Sus scrofa: one gene and its partners. The protein of the gene in region 3 interacts with the protein of the main gene of each other region in a biochemical or structural test. Links are inferred from orthologs where the notes say so. Each region holds a gene or a part of one and is shown on either strand. Other genes may lie near its edges. The genes, in order: MYL1, USP5 and UBC.

Region 1 (8,396 bases), on a different chromosome or scaffold from region 3:
TCATGATTACTATCAAAAATATTTCTCAAAATGAGAAACAATCTGAAAACACTGTAATAAAAATATTTTTAAATATTAGTACCTGTTGACTACCACGTACTGAAATCCAATACCAAATGGTATAGGAATAGCAAAAATGTGAGATGTAGTTATTTTACCAGCAGTCTAAGATAAGTATGTAGGCTAAGATGGAAGAACCCATTTACAAAAAAAAACAAAAAACAAAAAAAACAAAATTGAGGGCTGGCAAATTAGAAGTCCTGATCATAGCACTTATATAAAATCTACGAAAGGGTTCTGGAAATATAAAAGGATGTACGTCAAGAATTCAGAGCGAGCATGCCTACAATGTGCGTTCTAGGTGCTGGAGATGTACCATCAAAAGAGAATGTGTGCCTCCCCACTTCCCGCCCCAGAATGCAAGCTCTTTGAAGAACTGATAAGGTCTCTTACCTCAGGGAATATAACATTCTAGAAGAGGAGCCTTGTTTGAAAGAGGAACTTACTATACATATGCTCTAATGATCTTAATGAAAATTCTGCTGAGCATCCTAACTATAGGCAAGACATTTTATCGAGTTACGGAAGATAAAATCTAGGGGGTAGAGATGTTGGCTCGCACCCGGATTCACATCATGGACCAAGGGAAATGGTCCCAGTAACATCCTGTGCTTCCCAGAAGGTGGCAATCAGGAAGATTAAACGTCTTTCAGCGGAGAAAGGAGCTAGGCAAGTAGAAAATTTTCTTTCCAGAGGAGATTTTTATCAGGGATTTGAAGGATAGTTAAATTCTAAGAAGCATTCCAGATAGAAGAGACTTAAATCTAATTTTCAAAACAAACTAAATGATGACATAGCAAACTGAGTTGAAAAATCAGCTGACATTTTGTATTCATATCATGCCATTTGTTCAAAGGGCTGATTACTTCATCATTATAACACCCAGAAAGAAATACAAGAGAAAGCTATTGCCATTTGTAAAGGTGTAAAATGTACCAGAGAATAAATAGCATCCCCCATTTATTCTATGAGCACAGTATCTTGGTCTTCTAACTTTTAAACTGTAGTTTATTCTCTAGACCAGGCTTGATCATGGCCTTATCTACAAATGTCAATAGCTTGATTAAAGGTTTACTTTCTCAATAAGCATAAAAAAACTAAACTTCCACTCTATGTGATTAAAAATGTAGAGAAAAACTGGCATGAAATAGTTTGACAACTGCCTCAATTCTATTTTAATAATAATAAAGCTTTAACATCCAAGTGGTTATGAATAACATATTTATAATAAAAATAAAACTATTAAAATGACTTTCCAGTTTACTCAACAGATTTTACACAAACTGACTGTATTTTATATTTATTCAAGGACACATATTTCTACCTGAAAAAAAAAATGAAAATGAGCATTGTACAGGGCATATGATAGGCATTATGTAGGGCAACTTTGATGAGTTTTTGGTATTACCTACAGTTATTTACTAAAGATACATGCCAGTACTCAATATTAATCATAGGGCAATTCAAACTTATTGACACAATACATAAATAAAAATAAAAGACTAAAAAGAACACAAAGAAACATAGTCTGCTCTAATGGCTCTAATATATCAAAAATCATGAAACTCCAATTACACAATTATCAAGGTGACAAATTTCCACCTTTATTTCTCACTTTCATTTCCCCCTAATGATTCAAAGGGTTCAAATTTTTTCTCTTAACTTCCATTTCCCAACAGCCTCTCAAAATGGCAATCTGTTCATGAAGATATGTCTACCTGGGCTCTAATATTTTTAAATTATATTTTTAATCCCCATTTTGGGACTCAGACTCTATGAAATTTTTTTTGTTACTTGTAAACTTTGGATGAAAAATTATACTCATTTAAATGTTGATTTTTTTTCCAAATGGCTTGAGGGAAAGCTTCAAAATACAAAACTGTCTATCAGAAGGAGACTACACTTTTTGTGACCATTCCCTTAAAAGCAGTTGCTGAAACAGTGCATAAATTTGAATTTGTCTCCAACATTCTTTATGCTTTGAACTCCTTTAAACATGTAGAAAACTGATAAACAAGTCTGAACTTTAGTGGACATCTTAAACTGATCTTTTCCCAGTGCCATTCTAAGAAGGGAATTGCCCTCTATTATCAGGTAAGCTGCCATGAAAATTTACTACCAGCCAATCCCTCAGATACCTTTAAAATTCTAAAGTACAACTTTGCATTTCACATCCTCTGCTTTGGATTCTTTTAGTTCTCAGTCTGGAGATGAAGCCATAAAAATGTTTGACATGGCAGAGAGGAAATCAGGTCATTCTAGTAAGAACATAAGCAACATTTTTAAATTTTAAAAGAATATATGTATAGAATGAAAGTAAAAGAACACAAAAATGATCTATCAGCTCTCCTTCCTAGAACTTCATAAATTCAAAAAATATGACTAGTTAGCCACCATAAAGATAATGGAAGGAAAGCAAATACTCACCCCTAACATAAAAAACAAACTAAAGGAGATTGGTGAAAATGGAGATTAAAACCATTCCTAGCTTAAACTCTATACTCCTGAGAATACAACTTGCAAAATAATGGTCCTTAATTGGAGATTTCACAAACTGACCAGATTTTCACTGGAGTGGACCCTAAGAAACATACAGAATATGCATGGCCCTTTTAAGTCCTCTGAACTTTACCACAAGGGACAGAGCTTCAGAAGGCATTCCTTCTGTAAATGTTGCCATTTGAAATCCTAAACCAGTCCTACACAAAAAGTCTCATTACTACCAAAATTGCTAACTTGAAGTTTGCCAAGTCCATAATTAACCAAGAGAAGAGGTCAGCTCAAGTCTTTAGAGAAATTCTAAGCTCCTTTGCCACTGAACACATAAGGAGCTTCTTAAAGGAAGACAGTCCAAGAGAACTTCTCAGGGATAAAGACCATAAAAGTACTGATAGGCATTGGTCTCACTATGGCTGTCCACTCCTAGGTTCTGATTTCCTAAAAATAGACCTCAGGGTACAGATCCCTCTTTCCCTTTGCCCTAAGAAAGCTAAAGAACTCTCCAAGGGGTGTGGCTACCTCTCTCTGAAATCTGATGCTAGTTATGAAGTCAGAGCTTCTCCAGAAATAAAAGGGAGCCTCAGCAAGGGAGGCCCCCCACTCAGGGATTGGATCAGCCCTCAACTCACTCTTCAGCTTCGCCGCTGTTTGCAGCCCAGCAGTTTCATCATGGTGGGTCCTATGAGAAAAACTGTAACTTACAGAAAGATACAGATAGTGGGTAGGAATAAAACTGAGGAGAGAACATATTCAGTATGAATCTGTAGAATCTATTCTGGGGCTTTGCTGAGGTGGGTTAAGAATAGAAGAAATTAATTCAAGCTATTACTTCAACTAGAAAAATACATCTTATTCCCAAAAGCATATTTTATGCTTCACCAACTTTGCTATATCACATAAGGTTTATTATATCTAAATTTAGGGGAAAAAAAACCTTCAACTATAGCAAAATAGTATACCTTAGAAAACAATCCAATGGTGCCAATAACTAAAATTAAGTAAACTACTTCCAATGCATTGGGTAAAAATGTACTGGTTAAAAAGAAGAAAGATTTAAAATGATCTTTTTAATGCAGTCTATATGAACTTCTTAGTAAGTATATCTTTATTAGATATATCTTAAATACACCATAGATTATTATATTTTTCCAGAAAGAATCTGATTTAGCATTTGTTAAATCATTGACTCGTGTATTAAGATGCAGAGAGATGTTCCCTAACTATCTTGTGCAGTAGCTTTTTATTTTTCCTAGACTCAAAAATGTCCTAAGGCAACTCTTATTCTATGACACCTACATGGCTTCCTAAACATCTTGAAGCAAAAAGCACTCTCTTCTGTCAATGCATTTGAAAGAGTACTAGTTGTTTCTTTCTTTCTTCCTCTCTCTCGCCACTGCAGTCCTTCAGTGCTGACCAGATTGCTGGTAAGTGAATCAAGCTTCTCTATTACAGATGTAGGCAGAGAACTGCTTAGTTTCTGAAATATCACTCATCTCCAAGGCATGTTACTGTGTGGCTCAACCTATTAGTATCCAAGCTATGCCTGAATTCTGAAAAGTAAGCATACTTTTTGAGCTTACTTTGAAGATTACTCAGGGAATGAGCTTGGATACATTTAAAAACCAGGACATTTTTGTTTGGTTAAAATATTCTTTGTGGTTAATTTCTTTCTAACAGATCGAGTTCTCTAAGGAACAGCAGGATGGTAAGTTTAAACGACATAGTTTTTAAATGTGCACACTTATAAAGATGGCATGTGAGAAAACCAACTCCTCTGAGATGAGATTAGCTCTTTCTAATTATCCCCACTGGTGTTGCCACTCTAAATATAAATGCTCTCAATCACTCTAAATATAAAGTCTCTCAATGTGAACTTTTTGCTTATAATCAGTAACGAAAAATTTAAGCAAGCAAAAGCTAAATACCACAAAAGAATTCCTTATACTCACTGATTTCTTAATAAAACCAATTTGATACAGTAAGTAATACTACCCGCTATATAACCCCCAAAATGATGTGGACTTAGGATGGTTAATTTGTCAACGAAATCCCTAAAGAGAGATTGGACATGTCTAAATTGTTCAGTGTAGAAAACAAAATTGATTACAAAACTGCTTAATTACCAAATCCACATATCAATGGGCACCACAGTAAGTTGAGAAAAATAGCGGATGAAGGGGATATAGAATAAAAGTGCATTCAGAGACAAAGAGAAGGGAAATAATTTATAAAAAAGAAAAAACTATTGAAGGAAGCTTAGACATCTCCTGGTCCAGTTTTAGAGATGCAGGACAGGCTCCCAGAAAAGTACTGAAACTGGCTTAAAGCTCCCAACAATTAATGTTAGGATCAAAATCTAGTATTAGTTTGAATTAATTAGAAATTTCTATCATACAAACAGTTTCTAACTAGAAGACTTCAAACTTTGGAGATTCAAGAGAATCTGAATAGTTTCCCTAAGACTTCCACTTTTTCTTCTTCAGGTCTTTGGTCCCAAGAGATCTTGTGCCCTATCAATCTTGCTTTTTCACTAGAAAGCTTAGGGCAGAATGTTTATGGAGTGCAAGTGTCACATATTTAAATAAACTGAGACAAAAATACATCTAAGAAGGGAGAAGAGAAAATTTTAATTATATAATATTGTGTAAGTTTTAATATTGGTCATAATAAGTATGTATATATTATATGTTATAATATATAATATGTAAATAATTGTAATAATACTCATAAATGTATGATTATAGTTATACCTCATTTCTCTACCTAAAGGATTCAACATTTTCAGTCTTTTTCAGCGTCCAAAATATCTCATGTTTGGATATTAGTTAAGGAAAAAAGGATATTTGCTATTGTAAAGACATATATTTCTACAGTATGGTTAATGCCTTCATGTAGAGAGAGTAGAAGCTTTGATAACTTAGAATTCAAGATCATCTGAAATTATACTACAAAAGACTATGTTTTCTTATTGAAAACAGTTGATGATTCTACTATAATTGTTTTATGTTTAATGTATTTTTTATTTATTATAATTTTTATTGAAGTATAGCTGATTTATATTATGTATGTTTCAGGGGCGATTCAGTTATACATATATATGTATAGATATTCAGTTACACATATATATACACACATATGTGTATATATACACACACACATACATACATACACTTCAGATTCTCTTCCCGTATAGGTTATTACAAAATAATGAGTATAGTTCTCTATGCTCTACAGTAGGGCCTTGCTGGTTATTTTAACTAGTGATGCTGCAATTATACTGCATTCCAGTCCTCTAAAATATCTAATTTACTGTGTCATTATGACTTCCAAACTATGGCAGAATCAAGCAATAGAAGACTCAAAAACCCTTTCAGAGACAGAAGGGCTTGCAGTGGAACATTTGGATTATTACTGTATGTGAAATAGGTTTTAGATGTAGAGGTTCAGTAAATGTTGGTGTGGGAGACGTTTTCTCCTGTGCCAGGAAAGCAAATCTAAGCATTTTAAATTAAAAGGAAATCTTATATTTTCAGCAATAAAGACTTACTTTGCTCCCGTGTTCAATGATTAGAGTTTTTCTCTTGGCTTCTCTATTTGAATATATCACGAGTTTGGAGTAAAGAAAAAAAAAAACTGGAAAATTAAAGTGTTCTAAAGGTCTAAGTTCTGTGCTGTCCAGTAGAGTTACCACTAGTGACATGTGGCTATTTAAATTTAACCTTTAATTAAGCAAAAATAAATATGTTTAAAAGTCTATTTTCTCAGTTGCACTAGTCATATTTTAGTGCTCAAGAACCACAGGTGGCTAGTAGCTACTACTCTTTTAGAAAGCCCAGATATAGAACATTTCAATCATCATAAAAAATTCTAGGAAGAGTTCCCGTCCTGACTCAGCAGTGACAAACCCGACTAGTATCCCTGAGGACGTGGGTTCAATCCCTGGCCTCGATCAGTGGGTTAAGGATCTGGCGTTGCCATGAGCTGTGGTATAGGATGCAGATGTGGCTTGGATCCAGTGTTGCTGTGGCTGTGTCTGTGGCTGGCAGCTGAAGCTCCAATTAGACCCCTAGCCTGGGAACTTCCATATGCCACAGGTGTGGCCCTAAAAAGACCAAAAAAAAAAAAAAAAAAAAGTTCTAGAATGGTGTTCTAGACTAGGGACTGGCAAATTTTTTCATAGAGGGCTAAGCAGTAAATATGTGAGGTTTTGCTGATACTACAGACTCCATAAAAACAACTCAATTCTATTATTTAGGTATGAAAACAGCCACAGACAACACATAAATGAATGGGTATGGATATATTCCAATCAAACTCTATTTACAAAAACAGGTGGCCAGCCCCTAGGCAGTCATCAGTTAACTCATGTTCTATATTCTTCAAAAGAATACAAAGCCTGGAGCTCCCGTCATGGCGCAGTGGTTAATGAATCTGACTAGGAACCATGGGGTTGCAGGTTCAATCCCTGCTCTTGCTCAGTGGGTTGAGGATCCAGCATTGCCATGAGCTGTGGTGTAGGTTGCAGACGCAGCTCGGATCCCACATTGCTGTGGCTCTGGCGTAGGCTGGGGGCTACAGCTCCGATTAGACCCCCAGCCTGGGAACCTCCACATGCCGCGACAGCGGCTCAAGAGATGGCAAAAAGACAAAAAAAAAAAAGAATACAAAGCCTTAAAAATCTGAAGTGGGAAGAGCCATATCTTTCTGGCCTTTAAACCAACAAGAGAGTTAATGTCAAAGAGATTCTATTACAGTCCATAAAATCCTATTTCTATATTAGCATCTGACCAGGGTAATAGTGAGCCCTCTGAGCAATCTGCATGAAAGACTTAAACAAGTAACAAGAATAGTTCAGTTTTACATGCCCCTTAGAAAGATAAAAAATATTTGACTAATGACCCCACAGTGCCTGCAGCATGTGTTTTAAATTAGGGAAAGGATCTGTAATGTCAATTTGTGTAGAATTTGAGGGAGAAATTTTAGCAGAGAATGGTAACATATCTATATTTGATTGTGAATTTAATGTCTGATGCAATCTTAGATGGGGGATGGAGGGATAATAAAATAGGGTACTTTGCTGAATAATCTTTCTAAATAACATCTCTTGATTTGAGCCCACTAATGACCTGAAAAGAATATTTTCACCTCTACCAGTTCATTCACAAATGTGTTTATGAGTGATGTTGGTATTAACTCCAACAAGTTGCCATCAGTACCTTGAGGTTCTCCAGAAAATGTGATGTAGCTAAGCTTTGAAACTTCAGTAAAAATGTCTTTACGTGTCCCTAAATCTATAGTAGCACCTTTTTCTGTCTTTTTGGTGTACACTTCTTAATTCTTTGTCAATGTAATTCTAAAAGGCAAAACCAATTCTATCAAAGGGGAATGAAAAAATGTAGGGCAAGTAAGCAATAGAGTGATTATGATAAAAACAGACACTTTTAAAATATATACTTACAAACACAAATACAAGTAGAACTAGGGAAATCTGAATAAAATAAATGGAGTCTATTAATGTGAATGTTCTGGTTACAATAGTATATTATAATTTTGCAAAATGTTATCACTGGGGGAAATTAGAGTATTTAAGAAATCTTTTGTATTTTTTCTTGAAATTTCATGTGATTATAGTTATTTCCATAAAATTTTAATTCTACAGCTAATAAAGCATCATATTATCATATGTATTATCTGAAGAAATAGTAAAGTTTAAAGAGATTATCAGGGCAATAGATCCAAATAGTTTTCCTTCTGAATCAGTCATAAATGAATCTATTAGAATCATACATTGAAATGGTTAAATGACACCATAGAATTTAGAGGTTTGTCTCATCTTT
Region 2 (7,563 bases), on a different chromosome or scaffold from region 3:
GAGTCTGAGCTCTGGGGCGGGGCCTGGGCACCTTACAGGAGCAGAGCCCAAGGTTAGCTCTGTCCCCAGCCAGACCTGCCCAGCGGGGCCTGTGGGCCGAGCTGGGATCACCCTTGCTTGCAGCCAGTCAGCAGAGCTTTGTTGGGAAAGAGGCAGGAGGATGTGTATCAGGTGGGCTTGGGGAGGCAGAGGAGCCGAGATGGTCACGGACCCCGAGCCAGTAGAGCAAGACTGAGGAGGGAAAGCAGCAGCTCCTGCCCACCCAGAAGGACCCACCCACCCCTTCCATCACCAGAGGAGCTCCTGGAGTATGAAGAGAAGAAGCGGCAAGCCGAGGAGGAGAAGCTGCCACTGCCAGAACTGGTTCGGGCACAGGTGCCCTTCAGCTCCTGCCTGGAGGCCTATGGGGCCCCTGAGCAGGTGGATGACTTCTGGAGCACTGCCCTGCAGGCCAAGTCCGTGGCCGTCAAGTAAGTCCTGTGGGTGCCGGCCTGCGGCAGCGTCATCCCAAAGATGCTGTCAGCGTCGCATCCTCTCCCGTTGTGGTCCAAATCTCAGGCTTCTATCACTTGAGGCTGGTACCCTGGTCCTGAGGGAACCCAGAGGCTCCAACAGGAGCGGGGTCAGGAAATTGCTACCTTACCTTGTCCTGCCCCCGCCAGTCCCTCTTCTCTCATGGGCCGGGGTCACTTTCCATTGCAGCCTCTCTCTGCTCTGTCCCCCACTCCAGACCAAGCACAGAAATTAGTAACAGTTGTGGACGGAACTGAGATTTCCAGCACATGGCCTGCCTTTTTGCTACCTCATCACTGGCATGAACCTGAGATCTGAAAGAGTGCTTTGGTCTTGGGGATTCCAGCCACCTGCCCCTTGGCTGCTCTGGCCCATCAGGCAGCCCGCCTCCAGCTTCTGTTGCTCCTTATCCGCAGGTGCCCTGATGCCTGCCCAGGGCAAGAAAGCATGGAGTGTCTTCTGGGCTTTTTTAACAGCCCAGGTCTCTATCCATGAGAGGCTGAACCCAGCGTGGAGCTTTCGGAGAGGCTCCCTGGGTACCTGTATGTTCTCTCTTCCCTAGGACCACACGATTTGCCTCATTCCCCGACTACCTGGTCATCCAGATCAAGAAGTTCACCTTCGGCTTAGACTGGGTGCCCAAGAAACTGGGTATGGTGGCTGGGACGAGCAAGGGAGGTTAAGCAGAAAGTGCTAAGAAAAAGAAGGGGCCTTAAGCTGTGAACTGGTGCTTCTCCAACTCTCTCAAAGTAGAAACATTATCTTAGCTGCTTTCGAAATGTGTCTAGCACCGTGAAAAGCACCGACTAAAAGTATCAAGGCTTCTCTGATTTTATAGTTACAATTTACAGCCAGAAGTGATGTTCCTAGTTTTGTGTTTTCTAATTGGCAGGATGGTTTCATTTTGATAATCTTTTTTTTTTTTTTTTTTTTTTATCTTTTTAGGGCTGTACCCGAGGCACATGGAGGTTCCCAGGCTAGGGGTCGAATCGGATCTGTAGCTGCCAGCCTACACCACAGCCACAGCCACTCCGGATCCAAGCCATGTCTGCGACCTACACCACATGTTACAGCCACACTGGGTCCTTAACCCACTGGGCAAGGCCAGGGATCCAACCTGCGTCCTCATGGATACTAGTCAGATTTGTTTCTGATGAGTCATTTTTGATAATCTCCTCATTTTGATAATCTCAAAATAATGAGTTCTCATGGGTCTTCAGGCCCCTGACCACTTGGTGAACTGCAGAATTAACTTGACCTCCTAGCTAAGTTGAGCCCCATGGAAGCATAGAATCATCTGTGGCCCCTTCCTGGACTGTGGCTCATTGTGAAAAGATCTAGGACTGGAATCCAGGTCTTCTGACCCCTGGCCTGATGGCTTTTATTACACTGTGACTCCTGTGCTGGGTCCTGCTCTGAGCAAGTCGGGGGCAGGGGGCTTGAGATTCCCAGAGTGCTTTTCCCGGGAGGGCTTCCGGGAGCTGCCAAGGTGACCCTTGTCCTGCCGGTCCCCTCGCAGATGTGTCCATCGAGATGCCCGAGGAGCTAGACATCTCCCAGCTGAGGGGCACAGGGCTGCAGCCTGGAGAGGAGGAGCTGCCCGACATTGCCCCACCCCTGGTCACTCCGGATGAGCCCAAAGGTAGCCTTGGTTTCTATGGCAACGAAGACGAAGACTCCTTCTGCTCCCCTCACTTCTCCTCTCCAACATGTTAGTGACTCTTCTTCCTGCCTGTCTCTTTCCCTTGCTGATGGGGATCTTCTCTGCCTGCCTCCCCTTGACCCTGTCCTTTGTGTTTCTCCTGTCCTCCCTTTCAAATTTTCCTTGGCCCTCTTGATGAACATGGGGACCGATCGAGCCCTCCCAGCCATGGTCTCTGTGTGGATGGTGGCACACTGGCTGATTGCCTCTGTCCTTGTTACTTGGGTGGGGGCAGGGGCGGGGGCTCGTCCTCCAGACAGTGGGCGAGGAAGGGGCTCCCTGGGGGATCTGTAGCCTGAGTTCTGTACCTTTCGGATACGGCTGGCCCCCCATCAGGTTGTGTTGTCATTTTAGTTCTGGAATCAGGTGCTGGGCCTTGGAGGAAAAATGCATGCAAGGTGGTTGGGGGAGTCCTGGGGGCTGGACTCTGGCAGGAGGGAGGGGGCAGGGAGTGGCCCCAGGAGGCACGCCCCATGCCCGCGCTTCTCTGCCAACAGCGCCCATGTTGGATGAATCGGTTATCATCCAGCTGGTGGAGATGGGCTTCCCGATGGACGCCTGCCGCAAAGCCGTCTACTACACGGGCAACAGCGGGGCCGAGGCCGCCATGAACTGGGTCATGTCGCACATGGACGATCCAGGTAGGCTGGGGTGGGGAGCTGGGTGGGGCGGGGCCGCTGCACGCCCCACACACTTCAACCCCTTCACGTCCACAGATTTCGCGAACCCTCTCATCCTGCCTGGCTCCAGCGGGCCCGGCTCCACAAGCGCAGCAGCTGACCCCCCACCAGAGGACTGCGTGACCACCATTGTCTCCATGGGCTTCTCCCGGGACCAGGCCCTGAAAGCTCTGCGGGCCACGGTATAGCCTGCCCCCAGCCGAGCTCAGTCCTGTGGGAAGGAGAGGGTGGGAGCAAGCTTCTATCCCTCGTGAGCAAGACCAAGGATGACCCACGTAACGGGTCTGAGGAGCTAAAGATGCTAAAGGAGCCGAGGCCGGAGTTCCCGTCGTGGCGCAGTGGTTAACGAATCTGACTAGGAACCATGAGGTTGCGGGTTCGATCCCTGGCCTTGCTCAGTGGGTGAAGGATCTGGTGTTGCCGTGAGCTCTGGTGTGGGTCGCAGATGCGGCTCGGTTCCTGCACTGCTGTGGCTGTGGTGTAGGCCAGCAGCCACAGCTCCGATTAGACCCCTATCCTGGGAACCGCCACATGCTGTGGGTGCAGCCCTAGAAAAGGCTAAAAAAAGAAAGAAAAAAAAAAGATAAAGAAGCTGAGGCCTTCCCTGGCAGCCTTCTCCAGCCTGACAGTGCTAGAAAAAGTGACTCTTCTCTCTTTTCTAAGAACAATAGTTTAGAACGGGCTGTGGACTGGATCTTCAGTCACATTGATGACCTGGACGCAGAGGCTGCCATGGACATCTCGGAGGGCCGCTCCGCTGCCGACTCCATCTCCGAGTCCATACCAGTGGGACCTAAAGTCCGGGATGGTCCTGGAAGTGAGTGTCCCCTGAAACCAGAACAGGCCTGGTGGGATCTAGCCCGTTGGCTCCACCAGGTCTGCTTCCCTGGGGTGGTGGGAGGAGGCGGACAGGGGGCAGAAGCTTCTTTCCACCAGCTCGACTCCTGGAGGTGGGTTCCTAGGACGAGAGAGAGCCTCTGGGCCCAGTGCATGCCTCCAGTTCCCTGAAATCCCGTCCTGTGTGTGAGCTGTGGGGTCCAGCCGCCCTCCCTCTCTGCCCTCTCTCCCCCCCTTCCCTAGAGTATCAGCTCTTCGCCTTCATTAGTCACATGGGCACGTCAACCATGTGTGGTCACTATGTCTGCCACATCAAGAAGGAAGGCAGGTGAGGGGCCAGCACGTGCGTTTTTGAATGGGAGCGTGATGGTGGGAATGGTAGGGGCATCCTGGAAGTCCTCAGATTATGTGTGAGGGAAGGTAAAGGGTTGCTGGTGGGGCCGCAAACTCAGCGGAAACAGAGAAAGCCTCACGGCAGGGATTGGCCAACAAGGGCCCAGAGGCTGAATTCGGCCACTCACTTTTATAAAGTCCTACTGAGAGTTCCCATTGTGGCTCAGTGGGTTAAGAACCCGACTAACATCCATGAGCATGCGGGTTCTATCCAGGGCCTCGCTCAGTGGGTTAAGGATCCGGCGTTACTGCAATCTGCTTGATGCGTGTAGTTCGCAGGCAGGGCTCAGATCTGGTGTTACTGTGGCTGTGGCACAGGCCGGCGGCCACGGCTCCAATTTGGTCCCTAGCCTGGGAATCTCCGTATGCTTGCAGGTGCAGCCGTAAAAAGAAAAAGTCTTGGTGAGCACAGCCAATTACCCACTTATCTATCTGTGGCTCTCTTCGAGTTGCCACAGGAAAGTCAAGTAGTTGTATCAGAGACCAGATGGCCTGCAAAACCCGAAACATATCCTGTCTGATCCCTGCCTAATAGGAACGGGTGGCAAGTGGCTATAAAGACACCACAGGGTCTGAAAGCCCTGAGTCCAGTCGCAATGACCCTGTGAGATTGGGATGCTCCCTTCAGATAGGCAGCTGGACTGTAGGTTTGGGGACCCAGGCAGAGAATGTTGGGAGCCTTTGCCCGGGAATCACCAGGAGCCACCTCCAAGAGAGGAGCTGTTCATCCTTTTCCCCCCACATTCTTCCCCAGATGGGTGATCTACAACGACCAGAAAGTGTGTGCCTCTGAGAAGCCGCCCAAGGACCTGGGCTACATCTACTTCTACCAGAGAGTGGCCAGCTAAGAGCCCACCCTGAGCCCTTAACCACTGAGGGCAGGGGACAGACCACCCGGCATGAGGGATGGATGTCAGCCCCCCTGCTCCCGTACCCTTTTCCTTTTCGTGTCCCCAGCAGCAGGGAAGAAGCTAGAGGCTATGAGAGAATGGCCAAGCGAAGTGGGGGGGGCACTCTGGAGACTTTGGGGATGGAGCAGGAAGGGGAACGGGAGGGGCCGGCTGCCTGTCTGTGAGGAGACTGTTGCTTTCCTGCCCTTGACCCCACAGGGCTCTGCTTCTCTGTGATCCTGCTGGCCCAGCGTGGAGCGGGCTCGTTTGTTTGTGTGGCGTGGGTATAGCTTTGTGCAGCCTCTTCCACAGGAGGGGGCTTCTGTGCCTCCCCTCCCCCGTTGTGTGTGCTCCCCGTGTGGTTGGGCAAGGAGGGATCTGAGGGAAATGGGGACCCCCCTCGCCCTCCTGCCTCAGTCTTTTCCCCACCCTGTCTCTCCCCTGTCCTTCTGGAAAATGCCAAAATACAGGATGTGAATAAAAGTACAGTGGCTCAGTTGTGTCCTGTTTGATACCTTTGGGGGAAGCTGTCTTCCCCAGGGCTAGCAGCGGGGCCAGTTTCACAAAGCTCCTGGCCCTGCCCCTTTGCCTTCTATGTTTTGTGCTGGTGTGATTGGGGGCTGAGTGAGGTGAGCTCTGGGGCAGCAGAGGAAGGCTGCGGGGTGGGGGCTGTTAGATGAGGGGATGTGGGCTGGGGTGTCACAGAACAGAGATGGGGTGGAAGAGCCCTTTCTTGCAGCCGTGATACCGGAGGGGGCCCAGGTGGGTTCTTTCCAAATGTCCCCAGTGGCTGTAGTCCTTTGTCAGGCCTTGGCCTGCTGGAGCAAAAAGCGGGGTATTCATGGGGACAGGGCGGACTTCTGAACCCCCCTCCCTTAGCTGCACAGTTTCTAGCCAAGGTGGGCCATCCCTCCGCTGCTGAACCCTGTTTTTTGCCCAGTTACTGTGGGGCTGGGTCGGCCCCGGGTGGGTCAGAGGTGTCCGCTCAGCACTCAGGGATGTGGGGGCTCCGATGGGGAAGGAGGCTCCTTTTCCCAGAGCTGGAGAGAGGCCCCTCCCCTATCCCTCGGTGTGGGGGTGGCGTGATGAAGCCGTGAAGCGGGGGTTTCCCTGAGCACCGGGCGCACGGTTCTCCCCAAAGTCAGACCACGGAAGCTGTAGCCACCGAGCCTGGACGCCGCTGGAACGTTGCTACAAGAAAGAAGGTGACGTCAGAACCTCGCAACGCGGGCGGCGGCGAGCGGCAGCGGGCGGTGGCGGGCGGCGGGCGGCGGGCGGGGCCGGGGCTGGGCTTCCGCGGGGCGGGCCAGTCATGGCCCAGGACGCGAAGGGGGCGGGGTTCTGCCTCTCCGCTCTCTATATAAGCGGCCAGTGGAGACGGCCGCGCGCTGCTCCTGACCTTCAGTGTGCTGGCTCCAGCGCCATGGCGCCCGCTAGGAAGTTCTTCGTGGGGGGAAACTGGAAGATGAACGGGCGAAAGAACAATCTGGGGGAGCTCATCAACACCCTCAACGCAGCCAAGCTGCCGGCCGACACCGGTGAGCCCTGGCGGTGGGTGGGAGGTCGGGCGTGGTGGCGCCCTCTCCCGAGCTCTCTCAGCAGTTGTCTGCGTGGTCCTGCTTGCAGGGCCGGAGACCAGAGTTACTGGGGTCCCGGCCTTGGCCCTGCGGCCGCAGGACCAGGGGTGTGTCCACGGGGAAAGGCGGAGCCGCATCTCCCTGTGCCCTCCGACTGTGGGAGGAAGACGGCTCCGGGGTGCGGACCGGGGCTGCACCCGCCCGAGCCGGGGATGGAAGTGGAGCCCAGCCCCTACGGGCGATCGGGAGAGGCCGGCGCCAGTCCGGTGTGTGGGGGAGGAGGCTGCGTGCAGGCTTCTGGGCCCCCTCGGCGCCGGCTCCGTGCGCCGCCGCACGTAGCCCAGACTCCTCCCCGCGCTTTGCCTGGGCTACCGAGTTCCCCTGCCGGGTGGCCCTTGGCCTCTTGAGCTACTCTTCTGATCCTTTCCCCTCGGCGGCCTGCAAGACCCTTCTGCGGAAGGGGCTGAGCAAGTGACAAACGGGCAGAGCCATGTGGGGATGAGGAGCGATCCTCTTGTTTTCTGCAACCTGGATACGGGAAAACGCAAGGCCTCTATGAGCCAGTCGACTCGCTGCCACCCACGGACAGAGTGCCGTCCTCAGTCCTTCCCATCCCAGGCATCTAAATCACAGAACCCCGGGTCTGATCAAGAGGCACCCCCTTCTGGTTTATTCCCCCCAGAGACTGCAGTACAGACCCCAGGAGTTGGCCCTTTCTGCTTTTGCTAAAAATCCTTGCCTGGCTAGGAGAGGTGGGAATGAGCTATTTTAGAAGGGAGGCGGGGTTGGCCCCAGAGAATGCTGAGTCTAGGAGGTGCCCAGGCCCAGAATAGCCTGGGGAAATCAGAGCCACAGCTGTTAAAAGAGCAGAGGGCAGGGCAAGGGCCATGACCTCTCAGGGGTACCCAAAAGGTTCAGAGTTGGGTTCAGGCCCAGCCTGGGGTGCAGAGTAGACAAAGATCATCATGCTG
Region 3 (7,003 bases):
GGTTGTAGGAACGTGACTTGGTACACGATCCCCGAATCCAAGTGGGACATTTAGACTTTGGGAGCCCTTCTCAGCAAACAGAAAAGCAGCTCTAACAAAAACAACAAAAATCCTCCGTAGAGCAGAATTTGTCAACCCATTGCATTGCTGACTTTGGGGGCTGGGTAATTCTGTTTTTGTGGGGGACTGGCCACTGCAGGATGTTTAGTAACATCCCTGGCCTCTACCACTAGATTTTAGCGGCACACCTCAACCCCAACACCACAGCTGTGACAAGCAAAAATGTCTCCAGATACTGCCAAGTGTCCACCAAGGGACCAAGTCGCTCCTGGTTGAGAACCACTGCTCTAGAGAAACAGCATCTACCTCCCTGAGAGTTTACTTCCCCCTCCTCCCTTTCACTTCAGTGCCCTTGGACAAATGTTTATTTCTATTTGCTTCAACAAAACCCACTGTTGGACTTAGAGACCAAAATTCTCTAGTAGAGAATTTTCCTGCTAGAGACAACATCAGTGTTGTTAGCGCCTAAGAATATTGTTTTCTCTTTGGAGATAGCCCTGGGACCCAGTCCTCACCCTTGGAGCCTTTCTTCTTCCCCCTCTCCCCCTCTTTCTCCTTTTCACCTTCCCTTGCCTCTGAAATCAGGTCTGTTTTTCTCTGTAGTTTTTGGACTCTTGAAAAAAAAGCTATGTCACAAAGCTCGTGACTCAGCCTTTAAACAACATGAATCATAAGACCTGCAGTGAAAGAACAGCCAAAAGAAAACAGGGTGTGGTTTGAAGCCAGGCCTAGTCACCTGAGAAAGAACCTCAGCTTTTTGTTCCTCTGAAAACTTCTTTCTGGAATTCAAGAAGGAAACCTTATACAGAGCTTTGATGTTCTGTTCCTTTAAACCCTCTTTTCAGAAATTTAGAAATATCCCTCACAGAAATCTCTACTGGAAGTCACTGAGGTCTCCTGCTAAACTGAAAAATGACATTTTATTTTTATTATTCATTTACATTTCTTGGTAATGAATTCATTCTCTTTGAAAATGTTTAAAACGATAGGAGTTAAAGTCTGTTTTGAATACTGCTTAGACCTTTCCCATAAATACCTACAGACACAGGTTGCCAAAGAAAACATAGTTTTGTTTTTATTCTCATTTTAAGTACAGTATTTAAATAACATAATGTTTATAATTCCAACAGGAATGTAGTCTTTTCCTAATAGCAGGGTATTTTTTAGTCGGTTCTCTCTTTTTCTATATATTTATTGAAAGCTTCAAGGGTAAAAATTAAAAACACCCTCCCCACATTTATAGAAATAGAGAATATTTCTAGAAGAGTCTAGAAAGAACAGTGGCTAGGGAATTGAGTGCATGAGGGAGGTTTTTCATTATAAACTATAGAAAACCTGTTTTAAGTTTTCATCACGTTCATATATTTTAAAACATTTTTAAAATATGCCTTTGGAAAAAAATTTAAGTATGCTTTTTGAAAAAAGGAAAAAATATGCTGGAGAAATGACACAGAGATCACAAAATAAAATATCAAAATGAAAAAGATCTGACTGGTGATCTTTTTCTTTTATCCAAATGGAATTTGTCTATAGATTTAAATTTCATACTTGGGGTCTTTTTTCCACCAGGACTATACAGAACTTACAATTAGTGTCCTTTTAAAAATCTCAGGCTCAGCGATAAGAAAGGAAATGTATATATATGCATGACTATCATTTTGCTGTAAAGCAGAAATTGACATTATAAATCAACTACAATAAAAAACTTCATTAAAAAATAAAATTAAAAAAAAGAAAAAAAGAAAACGTGGGTTTAAATAGATTTGATTTCTGATTTCTGAGTTCAAATGGCAGCAGAAGTGAAATTCTGATGCCTTCTTGCTCATAATCGGGAACAAAACAGGAAGGCCGAAGAGCAATCCGCAAAGTTCTGTCAGCTTTCAGGTCCAGCGCAAGGAGTGTTTCACAGCTGTGTGGAATTTTTGCTTTTACTTTTCAAAATTCAATGTGAACTTGTCACAGGCATTTCTCCTTTGGACACTTATTTTTCACTCCTGCGTTGTGAGAAAATTCCTGCAGGTCCTGACGACCCTCCTGAGGCGGGCTTGAGGCCCGGCCCCGAGATTTGTCGAGTCATTCCTCTTGTCCCGGTGCCCGCCCGCAGGGGGATGGGTTCGGCCGCCACAGTTGGGGTGACTAGACCCCCCGGGAAGTCCTCGCGACCCACTGGGGGTGAGGGGAAGTTTATGGAAACAGAAACACTATCGTTACCTATGGGAGACCCAGAATAAAGACCCCACGGTTTCGCTGGCGGGGAAGAGGGGTTGGGGGGAGGGGCACGGCGGAACTCGGGCCAGGGGAGCGGGACCCCGATTCATCGTGAGGCGCTCGGCGGGACCCCTGTTAGCCGAGGGCGGGTCTCAGGAAAGGCGAGCCTTCCTGGTTGAGGGGAGGGGGCGCCGGGGACCGGCAGCGGGGACAGCCCCCTCCGGACGCTCAGAGGACTCCGTGTCGGGTTTTCGCACCTTCCGCGGCACCTCCCCCACACCCCCCCCAACCAGCCGAGTACCGGCCCTGTCCGCGGACGCAGTGTTCAGCGAACACGCTGATCCCTCCGCTCGGCCGCTCAGGACTAAGGCCTCGTCCCCCCCCCCCAAAATCAGCCCCAGTGTTCGAGTCTTCACAGGAAAGCATTCTAGGAGTGAAATTAGAAGATTCTGGGGGGACTGCTTCTCTCTTCAGAGGGCAGGAAGGGCCGCGAAAAGTAGTCCCTTCTCGGCGTTTCTGCGGAGGAATCTACTGGGGCGGTGCTACCGATGGCTATATAAGGAAGCACCGGGTGTGGCGCAGGCAGTTTCGTGGAGGCCGGGAGTTTGCCTGCGTTTCTTCTGTGACCGCTGTTGCCACTGCCACCTGGTGAGGCGGACGTCCGGGGGTCTTGCGGCTGCGGGGGTGGGTGCGGGAGGTCTGCTTGCCCGCCGCGGCGGAAGGGCAGCCGAGCTGCTTAGTCACCCGGGGCCCTCGTGCGGAATAGCCTTAAGACGAACGGCCACCTAGAGCAAAATGGCGGCCGTTCCCAATCTCTCTGTGGGAGAAGCCGGCCTCTGAAGCGGGCTCTGAGGTGGGAGAGAGAAATTGGGGGCGGGCGAGGAGCACTGGGTGAAACGGAAACGAGAGGCGCGGAGGCTTCCATTGATGGCGGGGCCCGGCCGTTTGTGGAACGGGGTTGTGCAGTGTTTCGGGGATCGAATGCTAGGTCATTGCTTTCCGGCTCGACTGGCTGGCTGGCGCGCGGCGAGAACTTCGGTTTTCCGTCCCTGTGAAGGGACACTAACTGCTGGTGCCGCTGAGTTGGCCTGAACGCTTCTGGGGCAGGGGACTTGCGATCCACGACCGTGACGAGGCCTCACCCCTTTTTGTGGGCTCATAGCCTAGGGTGGGGCCACCTGCCGCTATGTGTGTAGGAAGATGTTTAGTAGTTTGGGGACACAGGGTTTGGGCCTGGGGTAAACGCTGCCGTGTTGACAGAGGACAGACATCCATTGAGGGGGAGGATAAGTAGGTCCGCGAATTTACCTGGGTCAGGTTTCCATGTTTTGCTTTCTTAAACGCCTGAGACGTTGGATTTGAGGTTAATTGTCAAGCCTGTGAGGTTTTTAGGCACGTCAGTTATTTGGCTACTACAAAGTGATAATGAATTATTTAGCACTGGGTATATATTGGCCTGTGAATTTCTTGCTGAACTTTGGGCTTTTTTTTTTCCTGTTGTTTTTGTGTTGTAACAGACAATGCAGATCTTTGTAAAGACCTTGACTGGTAAGACCATCACCCTGGAAGTGGAGCCCAGTGACACCATTGAGAATGTCAAGGGGAAGATTCAAGAAAAAGAGGGCATCCCCCCAGACCAGCAGAGGCTGATCTTTGCCGGGAAGCAGCTGGAAGATGGGCGCACCCTGTCTGACTACAACATCCAGAAGGAGTCCACCCTGCACCTGGTCCTCCGCCTCAGAGGTGGGATGCAGATCTTCGTGAAGACCTTGACTGGTAAGACCATCACCCTGGAAGTGGAGCCCAGCGACACCATCGAGAACGTCAAGGCGAAGATCCAGGACAAGGAAGGCATCCCCCCAGACCAGCAGAGGCTGATCTTTGCCGGGAAGCAGCTGGAAGATGGGCGCACCCTGTCTGACTACAACATCCAGAAGGAGTCCACCCTGCACCTGGTCCTCCGCCTCAGAGGTGGGATGCAGATCTTCGTGAAGACCTTGACTGGTAAGACCATCACCCTGGAAGTGGAGCCCAGCGACACCATCGAGAATGTCAAGGCGAAGATCCAGGACAAGGAAGGCATCCCCCCAGACCAGCAGAGGCTGATCTTTGCCGGGAAGCAGCTGGAAGATGGGCGCACCCTGTCTGACTACAACATCCAGAAGGAGTCCACCCTGCACCTGGTCCTCCGCCTCAGAGGTGGGATGCAGATCTTCGTGAAGACCTTGACTGGTAAGACCATCACCCTGGAAGTGGAGCCCAGCGACACCATCGAGAACGTCAAGGCGAAGATCCAGGACAAGGAAGGCATCCCCCCAGACCAGCAGAGGCTGATCTTTGCCGGGAAGCAGCTGGAAGATGGGCGCACCCTGTCTGACTACAACATCCAGAAGGAGTCCACCCTGCACCTGGTCCTCCGCCTCAGAGGTGGGATGCAGATCTTCGTGAAGACCTTGACTGGTAAGACCATCACCCTGGAAGTGGAGCCCAGCGACACCATCGAGAATGTCAAGGCGAAGATCCAGGACAAGGAAGGCATCCCCCCAGACCAGCAGAGGCTGATCTTTGCCGGGAAGCAGCTGGAAGATGGGCGCACCCTGTCTGACTACAACATCCAGAAGGAGTCCACCCTGCACCTGGTCCTCCGCCTCAGAGGTGGGATGCAGATCTTTGTGAAGACCTTGACTGGTAAGACCATCACCCTGGAAGTGGAGCCCAGCGACACCATCGAGAACGTCAAGGCGAAGATCCAGGACAAGGAAGGCATCCCCCCAGACCAGCAGAGGCTGATCTTTGCCGGGAAGCAGCTGGAAGATGGGCGCACCCTGTCTGACTACAACATCCAGAAGGAGTCCACCCTGCACCTGGTCCTCCGCCTCAGAGGTGGGATGCAGATCTTCGTGAAGACCTTGACTGGTAAGACCATCACCCTGGAAGTGGAGCCCAGCGACACCATCGAGAACGTCAAGGCGAAGATCCAGGACAAGGAAGGCATCCCCCCAGACCAGCAGAGGCTGATCTTTGCCGGGAAGCAGCTGGAAGATGGGCGCACCCTGTCTGACTACAACATCCAGAAGGAGTCCACCCTGCACCTGGTCCTCCGCCTCAGAGGTGGGATGCAGATCTTCGTGAAGACCTTGACTGGTAAGACCATCACCCTGGAAGTGGAGCCCAGCGACACCATCGAGAACGTCAAGGCGAAGATCCAAGACAAGGAAGGCATCCCCCCAGACCAGCAGAGGCTGATCTTTGCCGGGAAGCAGCTGGAAGATGGGCGCACCCTGTCTGACTACAACATCCAGAAGGAGTCCACCCTGCACCTGGTCCTCCGCCTCAGAGGTGGGATGCAGATCTTCGTGAAGACCTTGACTGGTAAGACCATCACCCTGGAAGTGGAGCCCAGCGACACCATCGAGAACGTCAAGGCGAAGATCCAGGACAAGGAAGGCATCCCCCCAGACCAGCAGAGGCTGATCTTTGCCGGGAAGCAGCTGGAAGATGGGCGCACCCTGTCTGACTACAACATCCAGAAGGAGTCCACCCTGCACCTGGTCCTCCGCCTCAGAGGTGGGATGCAGATCTTCGTGAAGACCTTGACTGGTAAGACCATCACCCTGGAAGTGGAGCCCAGCGACACCATCGAGAACGTCAAGGCGAAGATCCAAGACAAGGAAGGCATCCCCCCAGACCAGCAGAGGCTGATCTTTGCCGGGAAGCAGCTGGAAGATGGGCGCACCCTGTCTGACTACAACATCCAGAAGGAGTCCACCCTGCACCTGGTCCTCCGCCTCAGAGGTGGGATGCAGATCTTCGTGAAGACCTTGACTGGTAAGACCATCACCCTGGAAGTGGAGCCCAGCGACACCATCGAGAATGTCAAGGCGAAGATCCAAGACAAGGAAGGCATCCCCCCAGACCAGCAGAGGCTGATCTTTGCCGGGAAGCAGCTGGAAGATGGGCGCACCCTGTCTGACTACAACATCCAGAAGGAGTCCACCCTGCACCTGGTCCTCCGCCTCAGAGGTGGGATGCAGATCTTCGTGAAGACCTTGACTGGTAAGACCATCACCCTGGAAGTGGAGCCCAGCGACACCATCGAGAATGTCAAGGCGAAGATCCAAGACAAGGAAGGCATCCCCCCAGACCAGCAGAGGCTGATCTTTGCCGGGAAGCAGCTGGAAGATGGGCGCACCCTGTCTGACTACAACATCCAGAAGGAGTCCACCCTGCACTTGGTCCTGCGCTTGAGGGGAGGTTTCTAAGTTCTCCCTTTTAAGCTTTCAACAAATTTCATTGCACTTTTCTTTCAATAAAGTTGTTGCATTCCAAAATAGTGTGATTTATTTTTAAGTGTCTAAGGAGGATTTTTTTTTTTAGGTCGGGTTGGGTATAAGAGATCAAGTGTTTTCAGTCTGCTACATAATCTGTGGTAAACAGGAGGTAAGAAATGTCAGTAAAAGATGGTTTTAATGTAGAACTGTAGTGGGTGAGTATAAATAAAACCCAGACTAGTAAGAGGTTGCAGAATTATTCATATGTACTCTTCTATGTAGATTTACTTGTAAATACTGGATGTAGTATCTGAGAAGGGGAAGTTTCTGCAGTACCAGCCAGGAGAAAGAATCAAAAAGAGGGTGGGAGTGATGGGAACCTATGGAAGAATCAGGGTTAGTATGTAAATCTATTTAAATTCACTTTGAACTGTCTGGAAAGTCATTTGACCATTTTTGAAAGA

Evidence for each region.
Region 1: the proteins of UBC (region 3) and MYL1 form a complex in vitro, tested with the Homo sapiens proteins (2 studies listed by BioGRID). The link is inferred for Sus scrofa from reciprocal best matches to the Homo sapiens genes UBC and MYL1.
Region 2: the proteins of UBC (region 3) and USP5 form a complex in vitro, tested with the Homo sapiens proteins (31 studies listed by BioGRID, with this or other methods). The link is inferred for Sus scrofa from reciprocal best matches to the Homo sapiens genes UBC and USP5.

What each region holds. Positions count from the first base shown.
Region 1 is NC_010457.5:113,046,078-113,054,473, reverse strand, and holds the start of MYL1 (myosin light chain 1/3, skeletal muscle isoform), read left to right. Parts: upstream 1-3,158; 5' UTR 3,159-3,228; coding exon 3,229-3,231; intron 3,232-3,958; coding exon 3,959-3,983; intron 3,984-8,396. UniProt on the Homo sapiens protein: Non-regulatory myosin light chain required for proper formation and/or maintenance of myofibers, and thus appropriate muscle function.
Region 2 is NC_010447.5:63,841,690-63,849,252, reverse strand, and holds the end of USP5 (ubiquitin carboxyl-terminal hydrolase 5), read left to right. Parts: intron 1-295; coding exon 296-470; intron 471-1,075; coding exon 1,076-1,164; intron 1,165-2,032; coding exon 2,033-2,155; coding exon of another isoform or gene 2,156-2,224; intron 2,225-2,712; coding exon 2,713-3,077; intron 3,078-3,558; coding exon 3,559-3,712; exon of another isoform or gene 3,713-3,975; coding exon 3,976-4,060; intron 4,061-4,879; coding exon 4,880-4,973; 3' UTR 4,974-5,511; downstream 5,512-7,563. UniProt on the Homo sapiens protein: Deubiquitinating enzyme that participates in a wide range of cellular processes by specifically cleaving isopeptide bonds between ubiquitin and substrate proteins or ubiquitin itself.
Region 3 is NC_010456.5:28,254,173-28,261,175, forward strand, and holds the end of UBC (polyubiquitin-C), read left to right. Parts: intron 1-2,556; exon of another isoform or gene 2,557-2,663; 5' UTR 2,664-2,916; exon of another isoform or gene 2,917-3,121; intron 3,122-3,785; 5' UTR 3,786-3,788; coding exon 3,789-6,530; 3' UTR 6,531-6,599; downstream 6,600-7,003.